Linked DNA regions of Ovis aries. The protein of the gene in region 3 purifies or fractionates together with the protein of the main gene of each other region. This does not show direct contact. Links are inferred from orthologs where the notes say so. Each region holds a gene or a part of one and is shown on either strand. Other genes may lie near its edges.

The links.
Region 1: the proteins of ESYT1 (region 3) and synaptojanin-2-binding protein purify together in Homo sapiens (affinity purification with mass spectrometry; 4 studies listed by BioGRID and IntAct, with this or other methods). This does not show direct contact. The link is inferred for Ovis aries from reciprocal best matches to the Homo sapiens genes ESYT1 and SYNJ2BP.
Region 2: the proteins of ESYT1 (region 3) and ATL3 purify together in Homo sapiens (affinity purification with mass spectrometry; 3 studies listed by BioGRID and IntAct, with this or other methods). This does not show direct contact. The link is inferred for Ovis aries from reciprocal best matches to the Homo sapiens genes ESYT1 and ATL3.

What each region holds. Positions count from the first base shown.
Region 1 is NC_056064.1:26,351,602-26,361,422, forward strand, and holds synaptojanin-2-binding protein, read right to left. Parts: upstream 7,199-9,821; 5' UTR 7,104-7,198; coding exon 6,666-7,103; 3' UTR 6,038-6,665; downstream 1-6,037. UniProt on the Homo sapiens protein: Regulates endocytosis of activin type 2 receptor kinases through the Ral/RALBP1-dependent pathway and may be involved in suppression of activin-induced signal transduction.
Region 2 is NC_056074.1:38,450,819-38,461,148, forward strand, and holds the end of ATL3 (atlastin-3), read right to left. Parts: intron 8,574-10,330; coding exon 8,446-8,573; intron 7,852-8,445; coding exon 7,795-7,851; intron 6,717-7,794; coding exon 6,645-6,716; intron 6,267-6,644; coding exon 5,835-6,266; intron 5,075-5,834; coding exon 4,988-5,074; 3' UTR 292-4,987; downstream 1-291. UniProt on the Homo sapiens protein: Atlastin-3 (ATL3) is a membrane-anchored GTPase that mediates the GTP-dependent fusion of endoplasmic reticulum (ER) membranes, maintaining the continuous ER network. It facilitates the formation of three-way junctions where ER tubules intersect.
Region 3 is NC_056056.1:163,408,095-163,418,985, forward strand, and holds the start of ESYT1 (extended synaptotagmin-1), read right to left. Parts: upstream 5,219-10,891; 5' UTR 5,160-5,218; coding exon 4,764-5,159; exon of another isoform or gene 3,169-4,763; coding exon 3,127-3,168; exon of another isoform or gene 2,956-3,126; coding exon 2,821-2,955; intron 2,714-2,820; coding exon 2,640-2,713; intron 2,523-2,639; coding exon 2,450-2,522; intron 2,295-2,449; coding exon 2,205-2,294; intron 1,999-2,204; coding exon 1,943-1,998; intron 1,348-1,942; coding exon 1,224-1,347; intron 1,137-1,223; coding exon 960-1,136; intron 841-959; coding exon 758-840; intron 474-757; coding exon 425-473; intron 296-424; coding exon 209-295; intron 106-208; coding exon 13-105; intron 1-12. Other genes in the region: ZC3H10 (zinc finger CCCH domain-containing protein 10), read right to left, coding at 10,545-10,891. UniProt on the Homo sapiens protein: Binds calcium (via the C2 domains) and translocates to sites of contact between the endoplasmic reticulum and the cell membrane in response to increased cytosolic calcium levels.

The DNA.
Region 1 (9,821 bases), on a different chromosome or scaffold from region 3:
TGACTCATCCCTCAGGACTGGGGCACACGCACTGCCTCCAACAAGCTGGGGTTCTGTCAGGAAGGAAGAATGTGGGGTGGCACACCGTCCTCGCACCCCCAGGGCAAACTTGACCTCGTTAGATTGGAAGATTTCTTTTCAGGTAAACTTCTGGATTTGGTTGGCCCATATTTCCTTTGGGGTTTTCACATTTATGTTCATAAGTGAGTGAAGCCTATATTTTTATTTTCTTGTCCATCCTTAGCTGGAGTAAAATCTTCATAAACCTAGTTGGCTTGACTTCTTTTGTTTTCAGGAGCAGATTATCCAAAGTACAGATGATCCATTCCTTGAAATTTTGGTACAACTCATTCATAAAGCGACCTGGTGTGGGTTCACTGGGAGGGGAGATCTTTCATTACCATTTCATCACTAGCTATTCTTTATCACTACTCCTTTCTGCTTCAGTTTACTGATATTTCCCCCTTATTTGGGTAAATACAGTCAGCCCTCTGTTTCCATGGCTTCTGGGTCCACATGTACAGAATGCCAACAGTATTTAAAATCAACCTTAAACATTATAAAACTGAGTTGTATGCTCTAGTAATAGTCCTCTATTGTGCATTTAAACAATTCTTACTTTAAAAAATTATTTTATTTTATTAATTTGGCTGTGCCGAGTCTTACAGCACGTAGAATCTTTAGTTGCAGCATGCAGGATCTAGTTCCCTGACCTGGGATCAAACCCCCTGCATTGGGAGCATAGAATCTTAGCCACAGGACCACTAGGGAAGTCCCAACAATGTCTTACTTTAATTTTTTCAACTAATAAGCTTTTATGTTTGTTTTAAATCTGTGCCAGGTGGCTTACAGAATCTTAGTTCCCCAGGCCCTTGGCAGTAAAAACACCAAGTCCTCCCCACTGGACTGCAAGGGAATTCCCTAAAAACCTTTTACATTGAGCAATAACTTATACACAGAGATATGCACAGATCTGAGGTGTACAGTTCTATGAGTTTTGAGAAATATGTCCATCCATGTAATCACCACCGCTATCAGTACAGACATTTTCATTCATTCCCTTGTGCCCTTTCTGGTCAGTCCTCTCAGCCAAGCAACTGTTGCTCTGGTTTGCGTGCAGATCTTTTACAAACATAAGTTTTTCTCTTTCTTGGATAAATTTCTAGGACTGGAATTCCTGGGTCAGATAGGAAATACACGCTTTTAATTTTGTAAGAAACTGCCAAGTTCCCAAAGTGGTAGTCTTTTTTACACCTGACTTAAAAAAAAATTGAGCTCCACTTATTTTTAATATTAAGAGTGTTAGGAGTCAAAAAAAGAGTTTAGGAGTATGAATCACTGGATATAACGCACTTCATTTTTTTTTTAATGTTTATTTTTATTTATTTCTTTGGCTGTGCTGGGTCTTGGTTGCAGCAGGTAGTATCTTTCATTGTGGGCATGTGGGATCTAGTTCCTCAAACAGGGATCGAACTCTGGTTGCCTTCATTGGGAGCAGAGTCTTAGCTGCTTGACCACCAGAGAAGTCTCTAACCCATTTCGTTTTATAATTGCCTTTTGCCTCCTACTTGCTTGAGGAATTCCACTTCATTGGGCTATTAGGAACTGGGAGTTCTTAGCAGTTTTTCTCTGACTCAGTCATTTTTCTCCTGGACCTTCAACATCTGTGGAATCCCAGGGATGCGTCTACCGTCAGATCACCTTCTCTGAGGCCAAGCCCATGAGGTCGTAGAAACTTGCTGGGAAGGTGCTCCCAGTTCTTGGCAGATACTGAGACTTCTCTTCATGATTCGTTTTCTAGTCTCCTGTCCTGAAGTGAAAAGTTGATTGGAGATCCCCTTTAACAAGATGACTAGTATGGACTTTCTTTCCTGTGCTGGTAAGTCCCAAGGACTTGTTTATCCAAGATAGGACAGAGAGCAATGCCTGGGGAGAGTGAGTCCTTCATCCTGGGCTTCTGGGAGCCCCTGGATCCCCAAGGGTGCCCCATGGGGACAGCTTCACTCCCTCCTTCCTCTTCCTGTGTCTCTCCCTTTCTTTCCGCCCTCTTTTTTAGCCACATCGCTCGGCTAAAATTAAGATGTGGGATCTTAGACGAAACACGCACCCTCTTCATTGCAAGCGTGGAGTCTTAACCACTGGAACGCCAGGGAAATCCCCTAGTTTTCAACATCAAGATAATGTTTTATCTTCACTGTATTGCAGATTCTCATATATTGGAACAGATATTATTTTGTTCCACTGAAATGAATAGGCAGTTTTCAAAAAAAGAAAAAGAAAGAAGATACACATAGATGGCCAAACTATCTGCTGAAAAAAAAAAAATCTCAATTTTCTTCATCAAGACATGTAAATCGGACTTCCCTGGTGTCCCGTGGTTAAGAATCTGCCTGCCAATGCCGGGGCCATGCGTTCAATCCCTGGTCAGGGAACTAGATCCCACATGCTGTGGAGCAACCAAGCCTGTGTGCTGTAACTGCTGAGCCTTTGAGATTAGAGCCCGAGCTTGCTGCAACTAGAGAAAGCCCATGTGCAACAATGAAGATCCAGTGCAGCCAAAAGTAAGTAAATACATTTGTAAAAAGACATGTTAATCAAAACAATGAGACGGCAGTGTTCACCTCTTGGTTTGGCAAAAAGTCTTAAATTTGATAATGGGCTGCCTGGGGAGGGTATGGGGAAACAGGTATTCTTGTGATGTGTTGGAGTGAATGTAACTGTGTGCGTGCTTTTTGGAGAACAACATGGCAAAAGGCATCAATAGTTGTTGTTTTTTCTAACACATAAACTCTTTGCCCTGGCAATTTCACTGCTAGAAATTTACCCTATGGATCATTTGCAAAGGTCCAGCAAAGTTAAATGCATACATATAGTTGCATAGTATGTGATCACAAAACCCAAAATTGTTAGTTTCTTAAACGTCTGTCCACTGGGCAATGCGTTATCTATGATTTGCATGCATGCAGTGAGCACTGCAGCGATTAGGAGACTGGGGAAGACCCGTGTGTGATGATACGAACCAATCTCTACAATATGCTGAGGGATAAAAAGCTACCAAATAGTAAGCACATTCTGATGCTTCTTTGCATGCCTGCATGCTCAGTCCCTTCAGTTGTATCCGACTCTTTGCGACCCCATGGACTGTAGCCCACGAGGCTCCTCTATCCATGGGATTCTCCAGGCAAGAATACTGGGTTGCCATTTCCTTCTCCAGAGGATCTTCCTGACCAGGAATCGAACCTGGGTCTCCTGCATTGCAGGCAGATTCTTTACCCTCTGAGCCACCAGGGAAGGTTATATGTGTATATACGTACAGATACTCACACACACATATGTCAGACTTTGGTCTAAGATAATTTGATTTACAGGGAGCTGTTAACCTTTAGGAAGAGGAAAGTTTTTGATTTTCACTGTGTTTTTCTGGACTCTTCCATTTTTCTGGTGATGGCATGTATTGCTTTTTTATTGTCAGAGGCGTTTTCCCGGGCGTTGTGTAATGGGACATTTTTGTTTTCTTTGTATCACTTTATTTTTCTTACATCTTAAAATTTTTAAGCCAAGGAAAGGGAGCTGTGCTGGTAAGGTAATGTAGTACCTCATTCAATCAAAGGAATCACTGGGCAACCAGGCTGCAGGAGGAGACAAGCACAGCTGGGCCTCAGGAATTTTTGGAGCCAGGGGCTGGGCGGCTGGAGGCCTTTTCTTGTCTCTACTCGTCTTTGTGTATCAGCTGCATTCTCTCTCACTCCATGGAAAATGCAAGGAATGAATGGGGCTGTCTTGCACGTCTACATTTCACATCTTCTACAGCAGAGAGACTGACCCTGAGTTCCTGTTTAACAAAATTCTCAGGAAAAACTTTCTTTGGCCTGGCTTGGGTCAGGTATCCTCCCCTTGGCCCATCAACTCTGGCCAGGGTTGTGGGGGTCGGGAGGGACATCTTTAAGGAGCTGGAAGCTCCTCTGTAGTCAGGTGATTGGACAGGAGTACTTCTCAGTAGAAGGGAGGGTGCTGGGAAGATACACATTCATTTGTTCTTACTTATTCATCCAGTAAACACTTATGGAGCCTGTTATGTCCTGGGCTCTGGGCCATGTGCCGTGAACAAGGAACCCAGCAAGGTCTCAGCCATCTGAGGGTTTAGGTCCCAGAGCCGGAGACAGGCTAGAAATCAGTGTCTGCCACACCCCTGCCCTGTCCTGGCTCATCCAGACCTACTTTCCAGGTCCATCAAAAAAGAGGAGCCCCTCGGTTGCCAGTGGCGGGGCCTCAGCCTGGGGATGTTGCCCCCGTGGGGTGCTGATGGCTGCGGAGCAGAGCTGGCCGCCCGGACAGTGCAGCTGTTTCGAGTTGCCAGCCAAGAACCAAGAGCCGGGAGGTGAAGGGAGTGGCTTCCTGTTGAGCTGAGATCTTTGGCTCCAGCTTGGAAGTCAAGGCGTCTCCAGAAACATAACTGCCAGGCAGCCCACTGAGCTTCTGTGGAATTTTCAGTTGTCCTTTTTATGGACAAAATCAGCAACTTCCCTGGAGGTCCAGTGGTTAAGACTGCAGTTCCACTGCAGGGTCGGGGGTTCAATCTCTAGTCTGGGAACCAAGATTCCATGTGCCTCGTGGCGAAGCCAAAAAAAGTACAAAATCCAGACCTGGATCAGGTGTCTGACTCCAAATCGGCCTCTCCATCCCTGAGGCGATGTTCATCCAGAGCAAACACTGGAAGGATGCTGGCTCAGCTCTGGGCTGGCACTGGCGGGTGGGGGAGGGGCAGGGGGCGGGAGGGTGAGAGCCTCTCCTGGGGACTCCCTCAGGGGAGGATTTTCTGATGTGCTGACTCTGCAGGAGATGCCCCTGGGATTCACTGGTGTGAGCAAGATCTCCACCCGTAAGTTACCACCCCTCTGAGACTCTGCAGTAAAGCCCTCTCCTGGAGAACATGAGAGATGTCTGGGGCCAGTGACCCAGGCTTCAATCCCAGGTTTGGGATTACGATTCCTACTCACTGTCCCTTCACCCCAGGCTACTCTCCTACATGCAGGTTGTTGGTCCAAGTGTGGGTCTGCCCCTTTATGTGTCTTACATGACGTCTATGTGTGTGTGAGAGAGAGAGAGCTGTATTGTTTATACATGATGTAGTGATGGTACTTAAACTGAGGAGTTAGCCCATGGTTTGGAAAACGGACAGAAACCACACCCGGAGGAGGTTGAATGTAAGCCTGAGGACACTGGACTCCGAGGTGGAGAGCTTTTTCGAAGGGCCCTTGTCACCATCAGTCTTGGAAGTGAGACGTTTCAATCCTGGCTGGAAGGGTGTAATGCATCTTCAACTGTGGCTGTGAGAATGGACTCATGACAGGGTGTCCTGGTAACTAGATATCTAGGAGGTGGGCTGGGTTGGTAAGTGATGGATGGCACTGGTCGTGTGGCCATGCCCACCACCCTGGGTAAAGGGGGGCATCTTTGGCCCATTCCAGCACCTTTCTATGCCTGCACCCACAGCCTCATGGCATCAGGCAGCAAAGCCTGAATTGGCTGCCTCTGGAGAGAGGTCAAGGCTGATGTGGGGCCAAGACTAGGGGTGAGATGAGGTGGAAGACACGGGACAGCAGAGACCACACAGTAGGAAGAGGACGTACGAGATAGAAAAAGCAGGCGTGAGAGGAGCCCAGGGCAAAGGCAGCAGCGGTCAGTCCCTGGGCTGCCGTGGGTGCTGACAGTTTTCCGGGCTGTCCCAGTCTATGTGAAAACCTACAGGAGACCTCGCTCGTGAATCTGACTCTTGCAGTGCGAAGAAGCTAAGTGACACGGGACCCTACCCACAGCTTCTGCTTGTCACCTGTGAGGTGTCTTCCTCCTCCTTGGGGCCATGGCTTATTTTTTTTTTTTTTTTAAGATTCTTAATTAGTTGCTTTAGTTTTCGTTTTTTTAAATGACTCAGATTGCTATCCTCTTTTAAGCCTCACTCTATTACTCTTGCTACATACTGAATTCTTCTATTGAAGACTATCACTTAATCCTTATAGCAGAAACCTAGAAACCGGAGTTGCTTTCCACTTCTTTAATTCTCCATAAGGCATCACTATTATAATATCATACATGAATATGTACGTATATATATGTGTGTGTGCGTGTGTGTATATATATATATATGTTTGTTTTAAAAAGTAGAAATGTTCTTCTCAATCATCTTTGTTTGATACAAAGTAGGTGCCCAAGTAGGTATTAATAGTTAGAAATTAAATAAAAGGCCACAAAAACTTCCCAAGGAAGATCATTAAAGAGAAAAATCCTTTTTTCCTCTTATTACAGCTGGCCTTTGATGCATGCCAGGTAAGAAAAAAAGGAATACTGCAGGGTGATGGGAAGACTGGACCTTTCCCATTTTTTGGGTTGTAGCTGAACTTCTATTGGCGGTTCTAGTAAAATATATAACTCTTCGTTTGTTCTAGGCAAGTCCTTCTTTCGGGTTTCCTTCAGACACTGCCTTTACTCTCCCATGAGAAAATGAGGATTCAGAGATTTCAAATAGCAAGATTCTGGTTGGGTAGCAGTCTCTTGAAATCATGAGCTGGCTATGTAGAGGGAAAAGTTATGGAAGACTGGCAGGAGAGGGTGAGAGAAAAAGAGAAATGTATCTTCTTCTTTGGGAGCACAGGAAGAAAGCAAGTTTTTCAAAGTCGTTGCCGGTATCTCATGAAGGCCCAGGCTGCTACCATGGTGAGGGCAAACACTGGCACCAGCACCATAGTTATGGGAATACCACTTGGCTCCCCTTCGCCTTGAGGTCCTATGGGCCCATTCTGCACCTGTAACCTGTGCTGCACTCTCAGGGACACAGCATAGCCTGCATTACGGAAGGGGTCCACAGCATCCTGGTGCAGCAGGTTCTTTAGGTCTTGGCCGTTGACCGAGAGGATCTTATCACCCTCCTGGAGCCGCCCATCCAGGGCTGCAGCCCCGTTCTCTTTGATGCGGCTGACGAAGATGCCACTGTTGTCGGAGACATACTGCTGATCTGTCCCACCGACGATGTTGAAGCCCAGCCCTGACGGTCCTCTGGTGAGATTGATCTCTTCCTCGGTAATCAAGTAATCCACTCTTCCGTTCATATTTTAATCTCTGGCTTCCCGACCGGGGTCAGCGAGGATCGGTGCAGGTTGAAGGTGAGAAGCACTACCGGCAGCAGCCACAACACCGCACTTTCGGCCATGGCTTATTCATCTCTCTAACCAGAGCATCTGGCCCTGTGCAGGGAAACCTGTCGGTGCCTATTAATGTTTGAATAAATAGCTGCATTTATCACAACAGTCCTTGGCCCAGCCTTCGTCCAGAGGTTGTGGAATGAGCAGCAGTGCAGATTTTAGAGCCGGTACCCATATCAGCCATGTGCAAGGAGGTGAGCTGTGCCAATGAGATTCTTTCTGGGCGACTGAAGTCTAAAATGAGCAATGAAAAGGCATTACCAGGAGGAGCTGAGGTTTCAAGGGTGTGTGGGGAAATGGAAAAGCTGTGTGGACCCTCAATGTAAGGTTATGAAGGACCTTACAGGACGAGAAAGGAGACCCCAAAATGGTGAATGTGAAACGGTTCTGTGGCCTGTAAAACGAACACAGGTGTCCATGATCAATAAAGCTGACTGTAAGTCTCAGGCGTCGTTGCCAATCTACTTGTGTGACTATAAGAGGGAGAAGAACCTTTGTGTTCTTCTACAAGTTAATCACTAACGGGATGTTGCCTCTAAGCTTAAATTACCCATAATGGACCATCTCTGGGACACTTGTCACCCAGGTAATGAACACTAAGCTAAAATACCTTCGTTTAGCTCACGAGGAAGCATCTTCCTGACCAGGCCCATCTGTGAAAGACTGAAGGCAGGAGGAAATCCCTCCTGGAGTCTGGCCAGAACCAGGGCCTTACTCCCTCCTCTTTCAGTGTTAAAAGAAGCCTGGATTCTAACTCAAGGAAGATGGTTCATAAGGACACAAGTCTGCCATCTTCTCAGGCTGCCATTCCTTACCCCAACAACTTGTCACTTGATTTATTGACCTATTATATGGCAAAGCAGTATGAGCAGCCAGTCTTGCTGCTCATGGCCAGCCAGCTCTGGTTGGGGGATTTTGGGGGTAAGGCCCTAGCAGCTGCCCGGACCACTCGTCCTGAGGATCTTCCCCTTAAAATTCCCTGAAGCTTCTCTGGCTGTCCCAGCTCTTAGCGGGTGGAGCAAGGAATCAACATCTCATGCAGTAGGTAAGTCACTCCATGTAACAACTGGAGATCTTATTTCTTCTCCATTTAGGGCTTCTTTCCTTTAGAATAAGACAATTTGTATTTGAGTGGAGCGTGTGTGTGTGCTCAGTCGTGTCTGAGCGATGCCATGGACTGTAGAGCCCACTTTGTAGAGCCCACTATAGGCTCCTCTTGTCCATGGAATTTTTCAGGCAAGAATGCTGGAGTGGGTTGCCATTTCCTACTCCAGGGGATCTTCCCGACCCAGGGACCGAACACTCGTCTCTTGCATCTCCTGCATTGGCAGGCAGACTCTTTACCACTAGCGCCACCTGGGAAGCACATTTGAGTAGGGCACCATGTTGGAAAGAGGATAAGAGGACATAGTTGATGGACTTTTATGCAATTTGTGTGAATTGGTTTGTTTATTTGGATGCTGACATTTGTGTGTGCTGTTTGTCTGTCTTGTATTTATGTCTTGAAGAAAAATGGGGAATGGGGAGTTCCATGGTGATCTAGTGGTTAGGATTTGATACTTTCACTGCTGTGGCCCAGTTCAGTCCCTTGTTGAGGAGCTGAAATCCTGAAAGCCATGTAGTGTGGCCAAAAAAAAAAAAAAGGGAAATATTTCAACTATGCCTGAAGAAAGTCCTCAGAGGCGTATTTTGGATAAGTGGTCTGATTACAGCTATGAAACCATGACTAAGAAGTTGAAAATGTATGGCCCCAGTACCTGCTAGGATCTCCTCAAGGGGTTCATTATGTGGGGTTATCCTGGGACCCTGTGTACCATGTACTGCTGTCTTTGCTTTGTTAATTATATCACGTGTGGTCTCCCGTGTCATTGGTATCTGTTAAACCCCAAGACCAGACTTGAGGGTTTATTTAGGGTTTTTGGTTTACCCTTTAGGTTTTTGGTTTCATATTGTTTTGGTAGCATTTCTCCAGTTACAGCCAAATCAGTTTTATGATATTTGAAACTTCTACTGATGTCGAATGGAGGAAAGGAATAGAAAAAGTCTATTCTTGTCTAAAAGTGGGACATTCCCAGGGGCGAAGAGAAAGATTCCACTTGGTTCCTAAAAATCAACAAAAGCCCTGCCCCAGAATTCAGTATGGTTGGTTGATGCTAAGACAAAAAAGCATTCTTTGTATTGTTAAAGATGACGACTTGCTATATGGTTTTACAGCAGTTTTTGAATAGCTCCATAGCTATTCTGTGAAGAAGCAAGGAAAAATGATGGAATCCTCTTATGTTGTGTGGCTCAGTGGTAAAGAATTTGCCTGCCAATGCAGGAGACCTGGGTTCGATCCCTGGGTCGGGAAGATCCCCTGGGGAAGGGAAAGGCTACCCACTCCGTTCCTCTTATATGCAAGCTCTTGTGCTACTGCATTCAGGGTGGGAAAATGTCAGACAGTCGTTGTTGTTCAGTTACTAAGTCATGTCAGAAACCCAAGGGTGGGACTTCCCTGTGGTTCAGTGGCTAAGACTCTGTGCTCCCAATGCAGGGGCCTCAAGCTCCGATCCTTGGTCAGGATGCTAAATCCCACATGCTGCAACTAAGAGTTCAAATGCCCCAACTAAGACTCGGTGCAGCCAA
Region 2 (10,330 bases), on a different chromosome or scaffold from region 3:
CAGATCGGGCAACTAAATGAAAGTGCTCCAAATTCAAAGGTCCTCACAAGTCCATGTAACTATAAAATTTGTGCTCCGTTTTACACAATACTGTCAACAGCACAGCTTTCTCTGGCATTATGCTAGAGATTAAAATACTAGTGCGGTATTATTTTGCAGGACAGAGAAAGCTAACTCACTGCCACCTTTGACACCAGTTTTTCATTCCCGTAGAAACCCTATTCACTTTACCAAGCCCAAGTCTACTTAACACATCTTCCCATATTAAAGAGAAAGGAAAAACACAAGTAACACGGTGCTGTGATCTTTATTTCATTAAATGACCTTAAAACTAAGAAACAGAAACATGCTTTTGATATACTAATAGCATAATCTAATCCATTGCACTTTTTAAAAAGTATATTAAATTTTAAAGCCATTCAAAAAGTCTAGGAGGAAGAAAGTGCTTTTAACAAATCATTTTCTTAAAGAAAAGAGAAATCAGACAAGAAATTTTGTATATGCTCAAAATTAGTATTAACTCCTTTAAGGCTTAAGTCCATGACAGCATTTATGTAACTGGAACATTTTGGGAATCAGATGCATCTTCCCCTGGTCATAAGAACACTATATTTATAATTTTAGTTCTGGCATGTGAGACTGCTTTCCCAAGAAGAAACATTTCTTCTAACATCTTTCTGCCCTTAATTTTGAAGGCCCCTCGTAAGGGGTACTCTGTCACCAATTTTCAAAATGATGATCCTCTCTGTCCTTTTTGCTCATTTTTACTTATGGCTTACGGTTTTCTGTGCATGAAAAGATTCAGAGGTTCAAGTCACAGTGCTAAATTTTTGCTTTTTCAAAGAAAAACAACTTTCAAACTATTTTTTTTAATCCTAAGTACACCTGTTGGTAAATAGGATACTTGTCCATTCATTTTCCAGAGAAGGCACTAGGTCTTTCTAATTTAAAGAAACATTTTCATAGAGCTTGGGTAATCCTCTGGACCAAACGCATCCTTATTACTCCTAACACTAAACTCTCAGTGATTTTATCTGGCAGGAGACCACCTATTCTGAATCTCAGGCAAAAGGTGTCCACTTGCCTCCAGGCAGCACTGAATTGCACTTTCCCTCAGAGCAGTCTCTCCCACTGTGCTCTCTGAACCACCTGTGATGCTGTTTTTAAAAGTGGTGATTCCAGGGCCACAACCCAGACCCAGATCCACTGAGACAATCCCTGGGTACAAAGCTAGCAATCTGAATGCCTCCCAGGGTTGTTTCATGCAGGTCAAGATAGAAGAGAGCCACCATTCAAAACACAGCTACAATATGACTTCACAGAAGGAAAACTATTCAACTGCAAACAGTCTCTTACAAATGGGCTTCGGAATGTCATTTTACACAAATAGTTGGTATGTTAGTAACTGAAGCTTTTCTTCACCATGCTCCTATTCCTTGACTAAAATTTTGATGGATCTAAACATTAAGCCAACTGATGCAACCTGTGTTGGCTACCTTAGATGGCAGCCATTCTAAATAATCCTAAATTACATTTCAATAGTTCATGGGGGAAAAAAATAGCTCTATTAAGATATCCATACAAGTTACATTTTTTTGTTTAAAAAACCAGGGAAAAATAAAACTATTTGTTTTTTAATCACTTCTGCCTGGACTTAAATCAACCACGTAATTTTTCTGTCATACTTATTCAAGACACCATTTTCATAAGCCAGGTGGAATGCTGGGGATGGCCTGTTAAATGCACTGCCAGCACAAGGCAGTTTGTCTGTTTGATCACCTAAAGCATTTTACTTCATGAAAGAGCAAAAAAGGAAAGACCAGGTAAAACAAAGACAATACTCATGAGCAACTCCACCAAGTGTGAAACCACAGAGACCTCCATGCGACAGCTTTCTTGGGATACTGCTAAAATAAGGTATGACTCTGAGGCTGATTCATCATCTTACATGATCGTTTTCCCTCATTCTGTCTACACATCAATTTAGAAAGAGTCCTCAGCAAAAGAACTGAAATTTTGATTCTATTATTTTTACTTAGAAGCTAACTGGAAGTATTAAAAACAACAACTTAACATTTAACCTCTCCTAAGTGGTCATGTATGGATGTGAGAGTTGGACTGTGACGAAAGCTGAGCGCTGAAGAATTGATGCTTTTGAACTGTGGTGTTGGAGAAGACTCTTGAGGGTCCCTTGGACTGCAAGGAGATCCAACCAGTCCATTCTGAAGGAGATCAGCCCTGGGATTTCTTTGGAAGGAATGATGCTAAAGCTGAAGCTCCAGTACTTTGGCCACCTCATGCGAAGGGTTGACTCATTGGAAAAGACTGATGCTGGGAGGGACTGGGGGCAGGAGGAGAAGGGGACGACAGAGGATGAGATGGCTGGATGGCATCACTGACTCGACAGACAAGGGTCTGAGTGAACTCCGGGAGTTGGTGATAGACAGGGAGGCCTGGCGTGCTGCAATTCATGGGGTCACAAAGAGTCGGACACGACTGAGTGACTGAACTGAACTGAACTGATAATGAATTCTTTTCATAGAAAATTCTGAAAACCTTTTATATGTTAGTAGGAATGTGCCAACTAAAAATGCTTGCATGGAAAGGCAAAAGTGGCAGAGAAACAAACACCAGGAAAACCTCATGGTCCTAAGTAATGTCCCTGACCCACAAAGCAACAGCTGAGGGGAGGTAAGAGGAAAAAGGCATTCTTTGCAACCTGGTCATAAACCTCCCCGGGACTACTTACAGCCAGCAATGAGAATGCACCTTTTACTGGAAAAGTTGATATAGTCATCAATTCTCTTAAAAAAAAAAAAAAAAAATAGAGAGGCCAAAGGAAAACTCATAAAAATCCCCACTGAGAAAACTATAAACAATTTCCAGAGGCAGAATAAGTAAGACCAAAAAAAAAAAAGGCTTCCCCAGGGTAATTAAACAAAGTTATTCCTTTATGATCAGAACAGAAATTTGGTGAATTTAAACAGTAACTAAATTCTAAGGTTTCATTAAATCATACATGATTGCTTGTTTTTTTATTTTTAAAAAATCTAGTATTTTAGTATTGAAACAAGTTTTAAACAGCATCCTTTTCTCATCATTAGAAGTAGGATAATTCTAGACAACTCTTCTGAAACCTATAAACATGCTTATACAGTGCATTAAAAGCTAAGTATGTCAACATCTGTAAGGCCTTTAGCAAATAAGTATCAATCTTCAGGAATATGACAGGCCACCTGAAAATGCACCAAAATTTCAAAACTAAGGTTTTAATTTAATAAAGCTAAGTATTATTGATATGCAAGTAAACAGTTTTTAGAACTAGTTGGAATTTTTCTAAAATTTAACCATGACTGAAAAAAATAGCAAGAACTTCAGGGCCAGATGGTATGTAAATATGAAAAATACATTAAACACTTAGAATTAATTCAAAACTTATAAAAATACTTGAGTGGTAAAGTGTTAAAATAGTCAAGAAAAATACTCTTTGATAAAGATATGACAGACTAGAAAAGACTTTTTTCCACCATCCATTCATATTTCACGAATATAGAACTTACACTCGGAATGTGCCTAAAACTCCCTACCTCCCTCCCACAACAAAAAAAATTATCTTAAGAATTAAGGCTCATATACCTGAATGCTTATATAAATACTTGCAGGCAAGTTGTATGAAGCTTTAGAATCCACAACAATTCACCATGATAAACAAAGGAAAAGGCAACTGATAGACAAAAATTTTTATCACACAATCAAGGTAAATAAAGAATTTTTATATTTTCTAGGTATTATATATGCATACTTGGGTGGGACTTAGTCCTTACTAAGCCAAAGATATTTTAAAGCTACCAGACTAGTCACGTATAAAGTTACATAAAAGATGATTCACTAAATAAAACTGACAGTTTTAGCTTCATTATTAAAAATATCAGACCGTGAGCAGGAGACTACAAATAAACACTGTGGATAAAGACCTGATGTACTGCTAAGCCACATAAAATAGGACATCAATTAAAGGCAGCATGTTTGGTAAAAATCCTTCCTCTAGCCCTCGATAAAGTTCTGTTCTCATGAATGACAACTGTGTGTGAGTTATGTACAATACACATATATGTTATAGACCTACAATCAGTGAGTCTGACCAAGGCACAAGTTCAGATGACTTATCAGAGGTCACATGGTTCATTTAAACTCAAGTTTTTTCCTTAAAGTATTAAACTCATTCCTTTTATTATGAGCAGCTCTGGTTTTTCAAGGCATGTTTGCCTCTTTTCTGGAAAGAAGCTATAGGAATGAATGAACAAAAAAACAAACAAACAAAAAAAAACAGAATATGTTCTAACAAAACTGCCAGCCTGCCAGGAAACAGACCTTAAATTTCAGTGTACGGTAGATTTAAATACAATTTTTCCATATTATGTGGCAAACACAATTCTCTAATATCATAAGATTTAAAAACTGTAATAGCATCATTTTTAGTCAGTCTTTAGTTTTGAAGCTTTTGCCAAGTTTTGTAAACTTTTTAAAAAGGAATCCTTCTCAAAAGAGTATGGTACAAACAAACTGACAGTTCATCTCAAAATAGCATCTTTCACGTGCGTGTCCTCAATTTCCTCCCGATTAAGTCCTCGAAAGCATGGGTTCAATCTTAAAAGGCACTAAGCGGCACATAAAGGACTTAAAATTGCATTTCCATTGTTCTTTTAGCTTTCTCCCCCATAAAGTGCACAAAGCAGAGAGTAATAGGAAAACAGACACAAGCTTGGATCTACACCAGCGAGGAAAAGAAATGCTTCCAAGAGAAATGGAAGTGTGTTTAAGAATCTGAAACCACAGGAGAGGTCTGTTCATTTATTAGTTCCGTGTTTTGGCTCTTCCCAGATGGTCCCGGGTCTGCGTTCCTGGAGACCTGGGCCTGTGGCCGTGGCAGAAGCCCAGAAATCAGAGGGAGCTAGAAGGGTTCTCGTCCGATCCTCTCATCAGGATGCTACTGAGCTTTTTTATCCGAGGGTGGTCTCCCAGCAGCTGCATCCCTTGCAGCAGCCTGAGTGGAATTACCGATGTGAGAGGTGGCCTGCAAGAGTCCATTTATTCAACACGTCAGTTAATAAAATTACAGCTCAGTGTCAAAAGAGCAAGCCATTACAGACAAACTTTCAAAAATCTCTGTCTACACTGAGACAGAAAGTTAGGGAATGAAAATGCAGGAGTCAGGGAGCCTGTGGCAGCTGCTGATGCCCCAGAAAGTAGGTCAGCTGAACCTTTAGTGGGTGGGCAGCGCGCCAGCCTTCACCACAAGCCTCTAACTTAACTCATCTGTTCCTGCTACTCAGAAAAACAAAGCAGAGTCTCAAATCTGTAAACCTGGAGATCATGCCACTGTCAAGGGCCACAGGTCTGATGAAGCGATTTAAGTGAAAGAGATGCCATCCGCTGGCAGATCTCAAAACAGAACATTTCGCTAAATTCATATTTTTCAAAGCTCATGACTTTCAGTGAAGCAAACTAACCTTGGATGTAGGAGATACTCACACAGGAATTATGTCTGATGAACACGTATTTAAAAGTTTCCCGTGAAGAACACAATGTATATTAACTTGGAAAGTTTTTTGCATTAATGAGCAGGTTTTAAGCATGGAAACAAAATATTAGGAATAAACATTAACATCCTAAAGAACAGTAATAAAATACAAGGCCTATCAAAAAAAAAAAAAAAGGCATATTTCTCATGCCTTCTATCACTATTGAACTCTTCCAAATGGAGATATTTTACAATAGAAGCATGGATACGTATCTGTTATCAACTGTCAGCCTCCTGGGCTGGCACCACTTACCTGCTCTAATACATACGCTGCACCAGAATCAATAGCACCGCCCAGCTCACGATACTGACCAGAGTACCTGATGTACCCCCAGGTGAGAAGCGCTATTAACAGCAGTCCAACCATACAGTTGAACAGCTGGGCCACCACCTCAAGACCAATGAAGCCAGTGAGGCCGGAGGCGATGTACAGAGCCACGATGCCCGTGAAGAGCACTGCGGGGGTCCGGAAGGTGCTGAAGACGTTCTTGCTACTGTTGTGCTTGCAGAAGTTCTCATAGAGTTCCTTGATCTCCTCCTCCAGCTCCTGCTGGTAACGAAGGCTGAAATCCTTCCCACCCATCTTTTTCGTCTTCTTAAAATGGTCCAGAGCAAGCTGTTTGAATTCGCAGTGCTTCTCCTCTAGAATGTCTGGAGACAGATAAGGCTTGTCTCCCCCACAAACCTGACAAGAATAAAGACAGAACGCGGTCAAGAATCCTTCAGAAACAAGTGCCAAATAAAACAAGTGAAAACGCTGAAAAGCTTAGAAAAGTTTAAGATACTAGAAACGAACTTTACAACGATGACTAAGATCAATAAAAGTCTGCGTTCAATTCTTCTGAAAAGCACACTTACTAACCAGGGTGATATTGATCAGCGAGAGCAGTGACACTGTAAGAAAGTCTTGCTTAGAAAGGGTCGTAATTAAAAGGCCCCAATAACCAGGATAACCTGAATGTTGCCTCATCATCATAAGATAAGCAGGATCAAGCTTGGACTTCTGAAGTTAAAAATATTGCCCAGGTTAGATATTTCAGAATAAGACTTATGCCCAACGTACCTCTTCCATGTTGTTGTAATAAACATCTTTGGCAGAGGCTGCAGCTGCTAAATTGTTGGCTTCAGCAGTGGCCTTTTAAGAAAGGAAACCACAAATTACAAATTCTGTCTCTTTTCATATTCTTCCACAAACAACCAAACAGACGTTTTGTTTCACTCTCTTCCCCATTCTTCCTTCTTTATGATTTTTCTGTTATTTTTCAGGTTTCCACAAAGTCCAACTGATTAAATAAAATACACCTTTTCTGCCAGATTTTCTGCCAAAAAAAAATTCTCATACATAAGAATCTTTGTCATAAAACTAAACCTCTGAAAATATTTCCTTTGCTTCTATTTTGTATGTTAAGAAATAGATGTAACTCAGAAGAGAAAAAAATTATCTTTACAATACCAATCTCACACGCTAACTCCCTTTGTGAAAACGTTTGTCTACTAAAGAAATAAACATTTGGCAATAAACCACCTTATCTTCAGCACGTGTAAGTCAGAAATCGTATGTATTCACAAAATGACATCTTGAAAACATCAAAATGTTGATAATAAAACTTGCTGAAAACGAAAAACCTGATTAGTAAATAGATGAGTCAGGACACATTTTACGAAAATAGACAACAGGCAACAGGAGAACGATTCGTCTAACGGAATGGGGTATGTTTAACCTGCATACAGTACTTTTGGGGGGAAGCTGTTCTGTTCTAACTCCACCACCATGAATACAGACAAGAACATCTGAAGGCAGTCACACTGCTGAAAACATGCTAAACGTGAACAGACCTCAGCATAATGAAAAAGAGGGACCTTCCCTGGTGGCTCAGTGGTGAAGAGTCTGTCTGCCAATGCAGGGGACACAGGTTCGATCCCTGGTCCAGGAAGATTCTACACACCACAAAGCAACTAGGCCTGTGTGCTACAACCACTGAGCCCATGCTCTAGAGCCCGTGAGCCAGAACTACTGAACTAACTCGCATGCCCCAGAGCCCAGGCCCTGCAACAAGAGAAGGCACTGCACTAAGAAGCCCCGTCACTGCAACGAAGAGCGGGCCCCGCTCCAGAAAGCCCTCGCGCAGCAAGATCCAGCACAGCCAAAAATAAATAAAAGTTTTTTTAAAAAAGAAAAGGGGAAATACCAGGACTGTCAAAGAACTGCTTACCTGAAGCATGGATTTGGGGTGAGGCAGATCTTCTCCTTGGTAAATTTTAATATATGCCTTAGAATATAAACATAAAAACAATTATGAAAAACGCCATTCGTCATATTTAACTGCAGCTTACTTTTCAGAAACAGTGACCATACAGTTGCATTTTCCTAAAGACCTAGATCCACACCCAGGAATTAGCAAAAACACAGCACACCTTTGAGTGCATGTTAGCATTTTTTTAGTTAACTAAAAATGTTCTCAAAGCAGCACACGCCTACCAAGGCTGTGGCTCCCGCCAGACTCCCCATGCACGCTGGCCTCACCACTGCCTGCGGGCAGTGACCGTCCGCCGTGAGGTAGCCGTGTCACATCTAGGTGCCGTCTCGCACTCACAGCGACTTCCTAACCACCTCCTCTCCACACCATCTTCCGTGAGGAACAGTCTTCCTTTAGCCACAGTAACCACTCCTCTAAGAGAGTGCAGAGAACATCCATTTGGTGCCTAGACCAATACTGCCACCCAGTGGCCCACTCCTGGAAGGACAATGGAGTCTGAAAAGGCTTTGCCTTCCAACTTCCCCCAAGCTTTAAAATACCTAGTTCATAACCTATATCAGTTTCACCAAAAGTCAAATATTTTAATGATGAAAACCCCATATTTACCTTAAAATACTCCAGCAGTCCCCGACAGGTGACTTTTGAGCCATTGATCTCCTTTTCCATTAAGTTGGCTGGGTTTAATACATGCAGTATCAGTGTCTGTAACTGTTCTTTGAATTCACTGGCAATGTCTGTCCGCAGGACCAAGAAAAAGGAAACAATAAGCCAAACAGATTTATTCAGCCAAGGGGAGCATAAAGCGCAATCTTCGGTCCATCTGGTTGTTCTAACATCTCTAGCTGAAAGGGAGGGGCAAGGGTCCCAGACTGCGAGCCTGGCCCTTTCTGGCAATGACCAGGCTGCTGCGGGTCTCTGTTCTCACGTGCCTGTGCGGACTCCTTCCCTTCTGCAGTATTAACTCCTCTCTAGTCCATAAAGAATACGCAGAATATCGCTACCCTGGTTTTCACTCTGCGAGATTCACGTCTACTCCCTACACGTCCAAGAAATTTTACTTTTTATTTTACCGAACTTCTCTGGCAGTTCAGTGGTCAGGACTTCGCCTTCCAATCAGGAGGTGGGGGTTCAATCCCTGGTCGGGGAACTAAGATCCCACGTGCTTTGTGGCCAAAAAGCCGAAACATAAAACAGAAGTAGTGTTGTAACAAATTCAATAAAGACTTCAAAATGGTCCATATTAAAAAAAAAAAAAATCTTAAAAAAAAAAAAAGAATTTCATTAACACATCTTCAGGAAAATCCTTATCAACCCTTCAGGTTCTCCCAGGCCAGGCTTTTGCCACACCCTCACACTCCCCCTTAAATAAATCGCTATTTATCCATTTGCTTTACTTTTGTTCATTTTCTTAACGTTAAAGGAAGTAGAAGCACCTGAATCTCATGATATTTATTTTCTATTCTCTCCTCAGAGAGTTTCTCTGGGCCACCCCAAAGGGAAAAGACTACTATTTCAGCAAACATGACAGCTTCTTTCCAGCTTCTATACTATAGAGTTCCCACAGAAGGTTCGGGAAGCTATTAAACAGAGCTCTTTCCTCAAAGTGAGAACTAGCTGGGCCAAGTATGAAAATGCAAGGAATCTGATTTATATGATCCAGCATCTTTGTAATTCAAGTTACTGAATTCAACTAATTCAAACTATCAGCCAAAAATAAAGCAGACAGGAGCCCACATACAAGTAGGAACTCCTAACACTGCATAACCCAAGTTTACAAAATGGAGAGTCTTATGTATTCATTTAACAGATTTTCACCACCTTTTCGTGGCAGGCATTGTTGTACGAGTTGGGGATAGAGCACTGAATAAAACAAAAGTGGTTTACTAAATCTTTTCCAGCTACAAGGATCACCATAAAAATCTCCGCAGAAAAAAACTTCAGGTTATTTTATCTCTAAAGATTATAGGGTCTTCTAAGAGGAATTACTAGGTATGTGAGAAAAATATAAATTTCTGGAAAATATTCAAAACTATTTAAAAAATAACAACCATCCATAAAATCCACCATCAGACAATCAAAATTCACATTTAAAATACTCTCCCCTTCCTTTTTAAGGCTCTTATATATTGCTAAACTGCTTTTGTAGAAGATTGTACCAACTTATATTCCTATCACCAACATATGAGAAGGCTTGTTCATTACTATGAACGCACGAGATTTTTATTGTTTTTAAAACCTTTACTGACTTGATTGGCGAAAAATCGTATCTTGCAGCTTCTGCTTCTGACAGTACTAAACATCAGAGAATCGGAAGGGATCTTCTTCCTAACAAAATCCTGCGAAAGATATATTCTATTCCATTGTAGACTTGGAAGTCTACAAAGAGAGTCTACAAAGTCTAAAAAGAGAGCTGCAAGGGGCTGAGTAGGTGGGGAGTGAGCTGAAACCAGAGTACTGAGCTAAGTACATGTGAAGCTGTGGCTCATTTGAG
Region 3 (10,891 bases):
AGCCACACTCACAGGAAGATCCTGGGCCCGATCCAGATAAACAACTAAGATGGCAGCCGATGGGGGCTCTGGGCGGGAAGAGACTCCACGGTTCCACTGTAGAATCTGGCGGCAGGGTGGTAGTGGTTAGACCTTCATCCACTCAGTCCCCCAAACTTCTAGTTACCTATTTCTCCCCTGCCAGCTTCCTGTTTTGCACCTTAGTTACCTGCTCCAGTTTTTCGGCATCTGGCAAAAGCGAAAGCCATTCTAGCCTTAAGTGAACTTGGCCTTGCCCACCTTGAAGAGGGAACCACTGGAGGGAGAGGTAGAAGAGAGTGAGGTAGAGATCAGATACCCACCCAGCTTCTTCCCCACCAATGCAGTAACCACTGTCTACACAATGGGAGACACTACCCACAATCATCTTCTTCTCTCAACTTACTTCATCCATTACTCCAGCCTGCAATACTTTCCCTACATCCAGCTTCATTCTGGGGGGAGGGGATGGTGGTGGTAATGATGGCAGTGAAAGGGAAAAAAGAAGAGAGTGTTATAATTAGCAGAATGTCATTCATTGGCCCACTTCTCACCCAGAAGGCAGATCTCAGACTCCCGTCTTACACTCAGGAGGTATTTAAGTATGTGTGCATGGTGGGGATGAAGGGTAGGAAGTTGGGAAAGAAAATGATTACTATTCCCCTGGCCTGGAAAAGGATTACCTCTGGGATGTCAGTGGCCCTGGGGATTTAGACCTCTAACATAGGCAGAGTCTCACCTGCCCAAAAAGTCATCTTTGTCTGGATCCTTGTCAAACACCTCCACCTCAATTTCCTGTCCTGGGACCTCATGCACCATCACCTGAGGAACACAGAGGGATAAGGGTCTGCAGGTGAGCAGCATCCAATCAGCATCTTCTCTCAACACCTCCTGGAACTTCCCCACCTGACCATGGTCCCCCCACCCCTTGGCTCTCCCACCTCATAAGTCTCTCCCCACTGGGGGTTGAGTTCCTCATTGATGACACGACTGCAGAATGCCTGGGTGCCCACTCGCACAAGTGCATAAGGGTCTGACTTGCCCTCAATCAGGCCCTTAACGTATTTATCCTTGGAGCTCAGCCCTCGTGCAGCCAGCAAGTGAATCCGAATTATGCCCTGAAGGGTAGGAGTCAGATTGTGAGAAATTAAAGACCCACCACAGGGTTCCTGAGTGAAGGCTCTATCTAGGGGGAGAGGCCGTACCCTGGGAAGAGGGGAACGCAACTGGGCCACATCTTGAAGGTCAGGCACAAGGGGCACCAATAATCGGTTAGGCAACACAAGGAAGGCAGCGATGGAATCCATGATCATGGTGTCAGAGAGGGAGCTGAATGGGGGAGTGGAAAAGGAGGTGAGCGTGAGGGTCCCTGTTTCCCCACCCCCAACTATGTTTCCCACCCCCAAGAGAGACCTACAGTTAGAGGGACGGTCTTTCTTGAGAATACCTTTTCACTACTCTTCTACCCTCATTTTCCACCTCCTGCTCAGTCCCTTCCTCGCTGCCATCCAGCTCTTCTTTCTCCCTTTGTCCCTGCTGAGGATCCCATAGCCCTCTTCATTCTCTACCAAAATGCAGTCTCCACAGGAGAAAAACCACAGTATGAAGCTTCTCAGGAGTATTTGTTTTAGCTCCCCAACTAGGGTCAAGGCTCCTGGACGAAACCAGCTGCATTTTTTTTTTTTTTAATACTTATTTGGCTGTACTGGGTCTTAGTTGTGGCACAAAGGATCTTTAGTTGTGGTATGTGGGATCTAGTTCCCTGACCAGGGATGGAAGCCAGGCCCCCTGTGTTGAGAGGTCGGAATCTTAGCCACTGGACCACCAGGGAGGTCTCCAGGCTGCATCTTTCACTGCTCTGTACCTCTTAAACTTTCAAATCAGGGTTGGAACACTTAGCAGGTGCTCTGTAAGTCCTTGATACCTGAGTCCCGGGATATCCAGCAGGTTGGTCATCCCGGTCCAGTTGATATCTAGGGTCTGGAAGCAAAGAGCAGGGGGATCAGGACACAACACATAGGGGCATGGTCATTCCCATACAACTATTGCCAGTTCCCTGCCAGTTCTCAGCCTGCGTGTCAGTTCCCTCCCCCATTCCCCACTGGGGAGATGAGGTGGCCATCCTCTACCTCCCAGTCCTCTCTGCTTCCCGCATTTCCCTACCGCTCCTGGATGTCTTCTCTTACCGGGCGTCGGATGAAGAACATTGACACAGCCCCCACGATAGGAAGGTCCCCCATGAGTGGTTCGAGAATAACCCGTAAGACGCCATGTAGCTGGGGAAGGAAGAAATGAATAAAGCCTTTCCTCAGAAAAGGTCTTTCCCCCCTCCCAGACCTCCCCACCCTTGGTTTTCCCAACCTCCCACTTTCCCCATCTACTGAAACTCTAGGCAAAGGCTTCTTGTGGAGGCCCCAGGTGTGTGCCCTACCTGCATGCCCTTGACTCCTGCTTTGCAGAAGTATTTCTTCACTTCCACATCAATCTGAACGTCACCTACATAGCTGGGTGTTGGGGAGAAAGAGAACAGAGGGTGAGTCCTAGGCTGAAGTGGGGTGAGGGGAGTAAAGTAGTCAGAATGACCAGGAAGGGGACCCGGGAAAAGTGGCAAGTGGCAGTACCTGATGTTCAAGTCCAGCAGGATCTGTTTTTTGCTCTGACCAGTGTGAACCTTGACTCCAAGGATGCGCAGTGGCTGTAGAGAGATGAATGCTTGAGAGGGGAGGGAAAGACCCCTTTAGCCCACCTGCCTCCCCCGTCCCGATCTCTTCCCTTCCATTCTTTCCCCTCCTATACAAGTACCTTTTCACCCAGTTCCACTCGTGTAAATGTAAATGTCTGCAGGTGGGGGTTAGATCCTCGAACAGCTGGGGCCACAGTTTCGGCGAGAAGCTTCTCCATATATTGGCCCAGGAAGGGCCAGACCTGGGCCACAATCTGGGAGGAAAGGGAGTTGGTCACAGAAGAGCCTTGCTTTCCCTCTAAAGGCAATTTCCGTTAGAATCCTCCCCATAGGGAGGCTAGAATTGAAGTGTGGCAGGGTCTGGCAAGACAGAAAAACCCTATTCCCCCTCATGAAAAACAAAAACCAGGACAATCAACCCTCACCTTATTGAGCCACTCAGCCTTTTCCACATCTGGGAAGCTGACCTGGAGGTGGAAAAAAATGGAGATAGTGATGAGGCCTATCCTTTGCTTGTGGTTTCCTGCTAAGATGCCCACCGGCTGCCCACTGAGAACACCTAAGTGTGACAGGGCCTCCTCACACCCGGGAGCCGGATGTCTTGAGGATTCAGTCCTCCACTGGGCTTGGGGGGCACTGAGGTCTCTTTAACAAAGGGAGCCAACAGAGTTGGCCACACAAAGTTGCTTCGCAGATAGCTCCAGGGTATGAAATGATGACAGCTGCTGAGGTGGAGAGGAGGAGGGAGGAGAAGAGCACATTCTTTCTGGAGGGGAAGGTCCTGACAAGAAAGAGTTTGAGGAGGAAATCCTGGGATCCTGGCTCCTTTTACCAGCCTTCCTTCTGCCCTTGGAACCACTGCTTCTACACCAAGAGGTGATGCAGGAAGCGGCTCCTGAGTTAGGGAGGGGCCAGAAGAGCTATTCGGGCCCAGGCTGGTGTCTTCTTTCTTTTTAATCAGTGTGACTCCTTTCATGGAAAGGAAGTGTACCTGTGCTTTATACTGGGGAAGGAGGAGGGGTAGTCGCTTTAGGACAAAGATTAATTTCTCTGATGAGGAGGAGAAACAGAAACAGTTGCTGCCTGGGCTCCAAGTCCTGTGGGACCATTGCTCCCCCTTTCTCCTCCCTAGTTCAGAGTCTGGGAAGCATGGCTATGTCTGCCAAGTGTCAACTTTAATTTCCCCCAGGCGGGCAGCTGTGCTGGGAGGAGCGGGAAGGGAGGGCCCGGGAGGGGCTGGGTAACGGCCTGGGCACCTGCAAGGCCTGAGAGAAGCCATCCGGGCCCCTCACCACAGCAGAGGGGGCGAAGAAAACGGGTCCTGGCTTCAACCCAGCAAGCGCAGCCCGCAGTCCGGAAAAGGGTGGGGCCGGTCAGGGGCCGTGGAGTGTCGGCAGCGGGCACTGCAGCAGTCGCATGCGCCCCCCCCTCCCGCCGCCGCCGCCAGCACCCCCGCCCTTCGTCCAGCAGCCGCCTCCGCTGCTCAATGGCCCAGCCACCCCAGGCTAAAAAGAAGAGGGTCGGAGGGTCTGTCCAGGTGCGGGGCCTCGACTGGTCAATGCTCCCAGGGCGGGTCTCAGGGTACTCGAGGATAAGAGCGGGAAAGGGGAGAAAAACCTTATGGCCTTAAATGGGTATTAAAAAAAAAAAAAAGTCTTGGGGAAGACAGGAAAGAGGAGGAAACCCTCTGAGCCGCCACCGGAACGGGGATGCCCAGGAGCACAGTGAATGGCACCAGAAACAAGGAGGGGCATTGGAATGGTAGGTTGGAGGAAGAACCACGCCTGAGACAGGCTTCCCAGATGTTATTACTGTTCTTGCCTAAGCGTGGAGGAAGAAGTCCTGATTTTGTGGAAGAATCGGGATCCGGCCGTGCGGAAGGGGGTGGATAGTCGCTCTCACGAGTGGCGCGTCCCAGCAAGCAGGCGGCTAGCTGGCCAAAGGGGTAAATCTGGGGCTCATCGTCCCAAGGTGGGGAGCTGACTTTAAGATAGGGAGAGCCCTCGAACTGAGGCGCTAAAGGGGGGCTATTCTGCACTGAGGATTGAAGGTGGTCGCTCACCCAGGCAGGTAGCTCTCGATGGCTCATGTAAAGAGTTTTCGCCGTAAGCCGTTCTTCATCGTCCAGCAGCTGCCGCGCGACTCGAAGGCTCCGTTCTTTCTCCTCGCGGACCCGGCGCCAGCCCAGATAGAGGGCGAGGCCGAAGAGCACAAAACCCACGCTGAGTCCCATTGCCCCGGCCAGGTACACCGGCACCAGCACCAGCAACCGCCGCCCGAACGAAGTCAGCACCGCCAAGGCCTCACCCGCCGCTCCTGGGCCAGCAGGTTGGTCCCCAGAACTCTGCTCTGGCTTTGCGTGAGCAGTGGGGGGCTGGTCAGGGGGGTCGGAGGGAGGGTAGGGCTGGTCCACCGGGCTGGGGCTGGGGCTGGAGCCGTCTCCAGGAGAGGGCTCCATGCTGCCACCTCAGGGAGGACCCGCCCAACCCAGAGATCAGATAGAGGTTGCTTAGTTTTGAGACTAGCTCCCCGGCTTACAAACCATAAACCCCAGAATGGGGGAGGGGATATCAAGCCACGCCCCTTCGTTCTGACTATTTGGGTTGGTCCGCACCGCATAAACGAAGGTGGAGTCAAAAGCTCGAAAAGCCCCCTTCCGCGAGGAGGGGGAAAGGGCTCGGGAGAAGCAGGACCTTCCTGATTGGACCTGAGTGTCAAGATGGGCGGCCCGGGATGGCGGGAAAAGGAGGTAAAGGCTAAAGACTACCATATGATTAGTTAAAAAGAGGAGGAGGCGTGGCTACCATTTAAAGCGGAGAGGCGGGACCAGGAGCTCCCCCACGTGGGATTGGCGTGCCTGTAGTATGACGTCATGCGGAGCCGCACCGCTAATTACTCGGTTTTAGAGGTAGATTGAGTAGCGAAGTTGAGGGGTTATGGAGGGTCGGGATTTCCTTCCACTCTGTTCAGACGATTTGGCAGAACTTGGTCTGGGATTCCTACGTGTTAATTTGTCTCGTTTCCCTTGTTTTCATTCTTTAAGCATATTCCTTATCCTTCCACTTTTTTTCTGGCTGTCCTTACAAAAGGAAAGGAAATTACCCTATTTGGAATGAAAGTGTTCAGTGACCTACCCTATCTTGTTCCCAGTCTTCTGCCTCGTCTATGTAATGACAGCCTCTGGAAAACAAAAAACTGGAAAGTCTGAAAAGTAGAGTTTAGATAATTCAGACTTCAGGCAAGGAGTTGGGGGGGAGGAGGTGGAAAGCAGGGTGAATAGGAAGTGAAGTTTTTTTATCTTTAGAAATCTCCAAGTATGTCCATTCTGCCTCCAAGAATTAGTCATCTCTATTTTAAAGAGATTAAAACTAAACTGGATCCAAAGGGAGATGGGGGCTCAGCTGTAGCAGAAGTGATTATATTTTCCAAGAATTTCTGACTTTGAGGAACCACTAGGACACTAAAATGGATAATCAAGAGTAATGAGACAATTCTGTTTCTCATTTGCCTGTGTTACAAGGAAGGTTTAGAATATAGTCAGATGTGGAATTCAGTGCTACACTGCACTGTGTAGGTTTAGGAATGAAAAAATTCAGGGTACACTGAATGAGGACTCTTGTTACCCGTTAACTGGACTTAAAGTGTTGTCTAGGGACTTAGAAACTGGGCTGATTGGAAGCCCAGGAGGAGCGGATTGGCCATGATTACTTTTTAATGCAATATATGTGGGGCTTGTGTTACTGTTTGATTTGCAGCTGTTAAAATTTTTATTTAGCTCTGCAGGGCATAGATTTCATCAGGCTATGTTTCATCAAAGCTGTTTAAAACTTATCCCTGCCCAGCCTTCCTCCCTTAAATTTTCTCACTTCCCTTTCTGTACTTCTCTGAAACAATAACTAAACTGCTTCTTTCAATTTGCAGAACTGTATAAAGAACAATTTTCTGTCTATGTTCTCCATATCCTGAGATGAACAGGTATAAAAGGAGTTCAAGGGGTTATTTCTGATTCCTTGGAGGAAGTAAGAATGATTGGTCTGCCCACCAGCTGATGAAACAGAACCACAGCAGGAAAATGGATGAACATCCTTAGAGGAAAACCTTTCTAATAAAACTAAAATTTGCCAAATACTGGAGTAGAGGGAAGGAGTCCCTTAGGCTGGGAGATGAAGAGGGTGACTTACGGAAGTTCCTTTCCAAACTTTTCCCATTTCTCATCCTATCCAGATCAGACCCTCCTACTGAAGACAGTGTGTGGAGAACAAAAGCTCATCCTCAGGAAGGTCTCTTCGCAACTGCCACCCAGCAACCACAGAATCAGCAGCTGCAATGCAGGCACCAGAACAAGTAAACAGGGTGGGTCCCCACCCATTGACAATTCTGCTGCCCAGGTGCCACCTGGTGGTGATAAGCAGTAAGTGGGTAACAGGAAAAGGACGGTCATTTGTTAGAGGAAGTGTCTAAGGGAGGAGAGCATTGAGACTTCCTGGTTTTGCATTCTGCCTTTATATGTAAATTACAACTGCCTCCCAGGGTTGGAAATGGTAACCTGGTCCCTGACTACTCTTCAAGATGGCAGTGGCAACAAAATTTGAGGAAACTTCCTCTGTATTCCTTACAAGTTACTGGAAGGTAGTGGTCCCATTGTTGGATGGCTCTATTATTAGCACTTATCTTATGCCAAGCTGGAGTCAGACTATCTGAAGAGATTCGTGGATCCATTCTTTACTAGTTGTGGAACCTTGGGTAGATAACCTTTAAGCCTTTCTCCTCTGGGAAACAAGTACAATAATAATGCCCATTGTGTCAATGAAATACTGCATGTAAAGTGACAAGCAAAGTGCCTAGGTTTATGTTAAGTACTCACGTTAGCTATTTTCTAGAACTCTCTGCTTGTGCAGCAAGACAGGAACTTTATTAGGTAGCCCTTCAAATATCTGAAGACATCTATGGGGTCTACCTACAGTCTTATCAATTTTTTTTTCCCAGATACCCCACTGGTTTGCCAATGGCCTTCTCTAAAAACTATTTAGAAGAACACACAATACTTTAGAACTGACTCCTGTCAGACAGACATGGTACAACTACTATGTTTACAACACACAACTATGGTTCTTTTATCCTATGGAGCTTCTAGAAAGGTGCTAGAACACAACAGGCTCGTAATATTAACTGCCTTATTATGAAGAATATTTTAATTTTTTTGCAGCCAGTGTGAAGTCCCATGTTGCTCTCATGTGAATTATTGCTAATATAGAGCTCTACATTTCTCAGGCAGGTTCAAGTAATTTTTAGGGGCAGAGTCAATCGAAATTGACACTTCAGATTAGTCAATCCAAGTTACTGACATTTCCAGAATTACTTAGTATTTTTTTGTTATGTTGGTGAGTAGGCTTTTCATATTTTTATACAATGAAAAAAATATAGCCCTTGGGTATATCTCTAACATGGATGTGCTCATCAACATTTACTAGGCACAAACGTTTGGTTTTGATTCCATCAAATTCTACTATTAACTGACCCATAATTATTCTTATCTGCAATGACTTAGGTGAGAAAGAGGAAAGCAGTTTCTGACATCTGGGAAATGGCCTGACACAGCTGGCCTTTGGAATTATTAGGGGGCTGACCCGGGTTCACAGGTACTGTTGGACAATCTCACAAAACACCAACATCAGACAAGGGTACTCAATGATTGTGATGAAGTGAGTCAAAAAAACAAAACAAAAACCAAGATCACAATTTTGTTTAAGGGCTAAATGAGGTCAGTGTGCAAACCTTAAATTGCAAACATCTCCCTCTCCCAGCTAACGAGTGACTACTGCTTCATTACTTATTGCAGTTTCAGCTTCACTTTAGTCTGTCCTTTTTCTAGATAAGATACCCAACCATACAATTTTCCCTGCTTCCCGAACAGCACCCAGTTTAGAGTGAAGCTCTATTTCCTTGAACCTTCTCCAAACTCAATGAAAGTCCAAGTCCTATAGGTCCTTTCTAACATCCTCTTGCAAGACACACTATAGTTCCACATGGTGTCCTCTCTCCATCATCACAGTGTTAAATCTATCCAACTTACTCAACTGTAGGTATATTCTTGGTGGTGTTTAGCTGGTGCACATTAAAAAATACATACATCATCTACAGTTTCCCAACTCTACCTCTTTAGAGATACTTGGAAAAAAAATAAAAAAGTTAGCTCATCAGTTTGGCTAGGACAAATTCATGTTGGTATCTATGATCACATTTGTCTAAATGCTCATAAACCATCTCTTTAATAATCCAGAATTATATCAGAAAATCAACATTAAGCTTATCAATGTGTGGCTTCTAGAATCCACAAACAGTATTTCAGTATTTGCCCATCTTCAGTCTTTTGCACCCCCTCCCTTTTTAAAAATGACTGGCCTTGACTTAGCCCACCATCTCCAATCCCAGGTGTATACTGAATGATCAAACAAACAAGAGTAAGAGGTAGCACGAGATATGATGGGGGAAGAATAAACCAGGATCACTTTCTCTACCCCCAAATCCACTGTCCCATTAGACTATTCCCCTGAGCTGTTTCCCCTACATCAGCCATGAGCTGAGGAGGAACTGAGGTTTGGCTACTGGGACCCTTGGCCTTATTGACTCTTAACTGGATTTAAAACCTCTGTGGTCCTATGTGGAAGCAGAGGGAAGTAAGGGATGAACCCCAAGGTTTGTGTCCCCAGAAGAACTCTCCTTTCCCCAGCACCTCTTAAGCCTTGAAGGCTTAAGGCACTGGGAACTGAGAAAAGGATGCAGTAGGAGGGACATTGCTGTCAACAACTCAGAGAGGAACTGCCACCTGCCCTGCTCTGTTTGAAGAAGGGAAGGATCTGTCAACACATATCCCATTCCCATTTCCCAGCACATCCACCCTCCTTAGTACCTGTCCCCCTAATTGACCCTGGGAGCCCTAGTTACTAAGGCAACCTGGGGATAGTACATGCAGATAGAAACCAGAATGGATGGGACTATTTTTAAACCAGACGAGGTGGCTCCAATGGTTTTACCCCACAAAGTACCTTCCCTGAAGCCCCATGTGATCTTGCTCTGGGCTCCTACCCTTCTTCACTGGCCTTCATCCATCCTCACCCAAGCTATGTGAGAATGAGGTCTTTATTCCATTTTGGCATGACATCTATTTACTGCTCCCATCTTCCACACAGAATATCTAAGCAAGTTTTTACTGCCTCCTTTGTCAAAAATAACTTCTTTTATTTCTTTGGAACGTGGTTGGCCCTGCCCTCTGGATGTCCAGGTCAAGCCAAGGTAATGAATGCTCCCCTAGTCTTTGGGCTGGAGTACTACGGTCCCCATCTTCCCACGGGCCCAGGAGCAGTTCCTGTATTGTCCAACTCAACTAGGCCCCAAACTATCTGAAGGCTCCTAACAGGCCTTCTCTCCTGGCCGCCCTCTTCCTATTCTTTCCTGGCTTCCCCTCTGGGCAGGGTATTTTTTTCTTCCAAAGCCAGTGCTGGAACCTGTGCTGTGCAGAAAAGAGGACAAGACCAAGGATGTCCCCCAAATTCCCATCAGAGGACACACGCCCCTCAGTCAGTCCTTCGTCTGTGGCCTTCAGTCTGCACTCCTACGCAAGCTCGAGAGGCCTGAAGGAAGATGGACGAGAGGAGCCTCATAAAAGGCAGGTGGGAGGAAACACACCAACCCAACCCCTTCTCAGAAGCAAACTCCTCGCAGTCTCTCATCCTAGTTCATGAGTGAGCCCTTCAGACAGGGCCCTGGAGGACTAGGCGAGTGGGTGAAGGCCCCTCAACTCCAGCCCTGGGAGACTATACCAGGGGAGTGTCCATTAGCCCCATCAGTGTGGCATGGCTGTGATTCGCATGCTCTGGGAAGCGATGGGGTAAGTCACCATGGGGGTGGTGGTGTGGCTCATTGTGATTCCTGCCAAGGGTTGGGCCATCGATACAGCCACAGGGGCCACAGGAGCCACTGATACAGCCACAGGAGCCATGGAGACAGGTGGGGGTGCCATTCCCTGGGCAATTGTCTGAGCCAGAGCAGCTGACAGTGGCGCGATCTCTGGGTTCAAGTGTGGGGGTGGGGGTGGTGGGGCAGCAGGAGGTGCAGCATTAGTTGGAGGAGCAGCCGGAGCTCCAGCAGGGGCCACCAGTTCTTGCTGGGACACGGGGCGAGGCTGCAGAG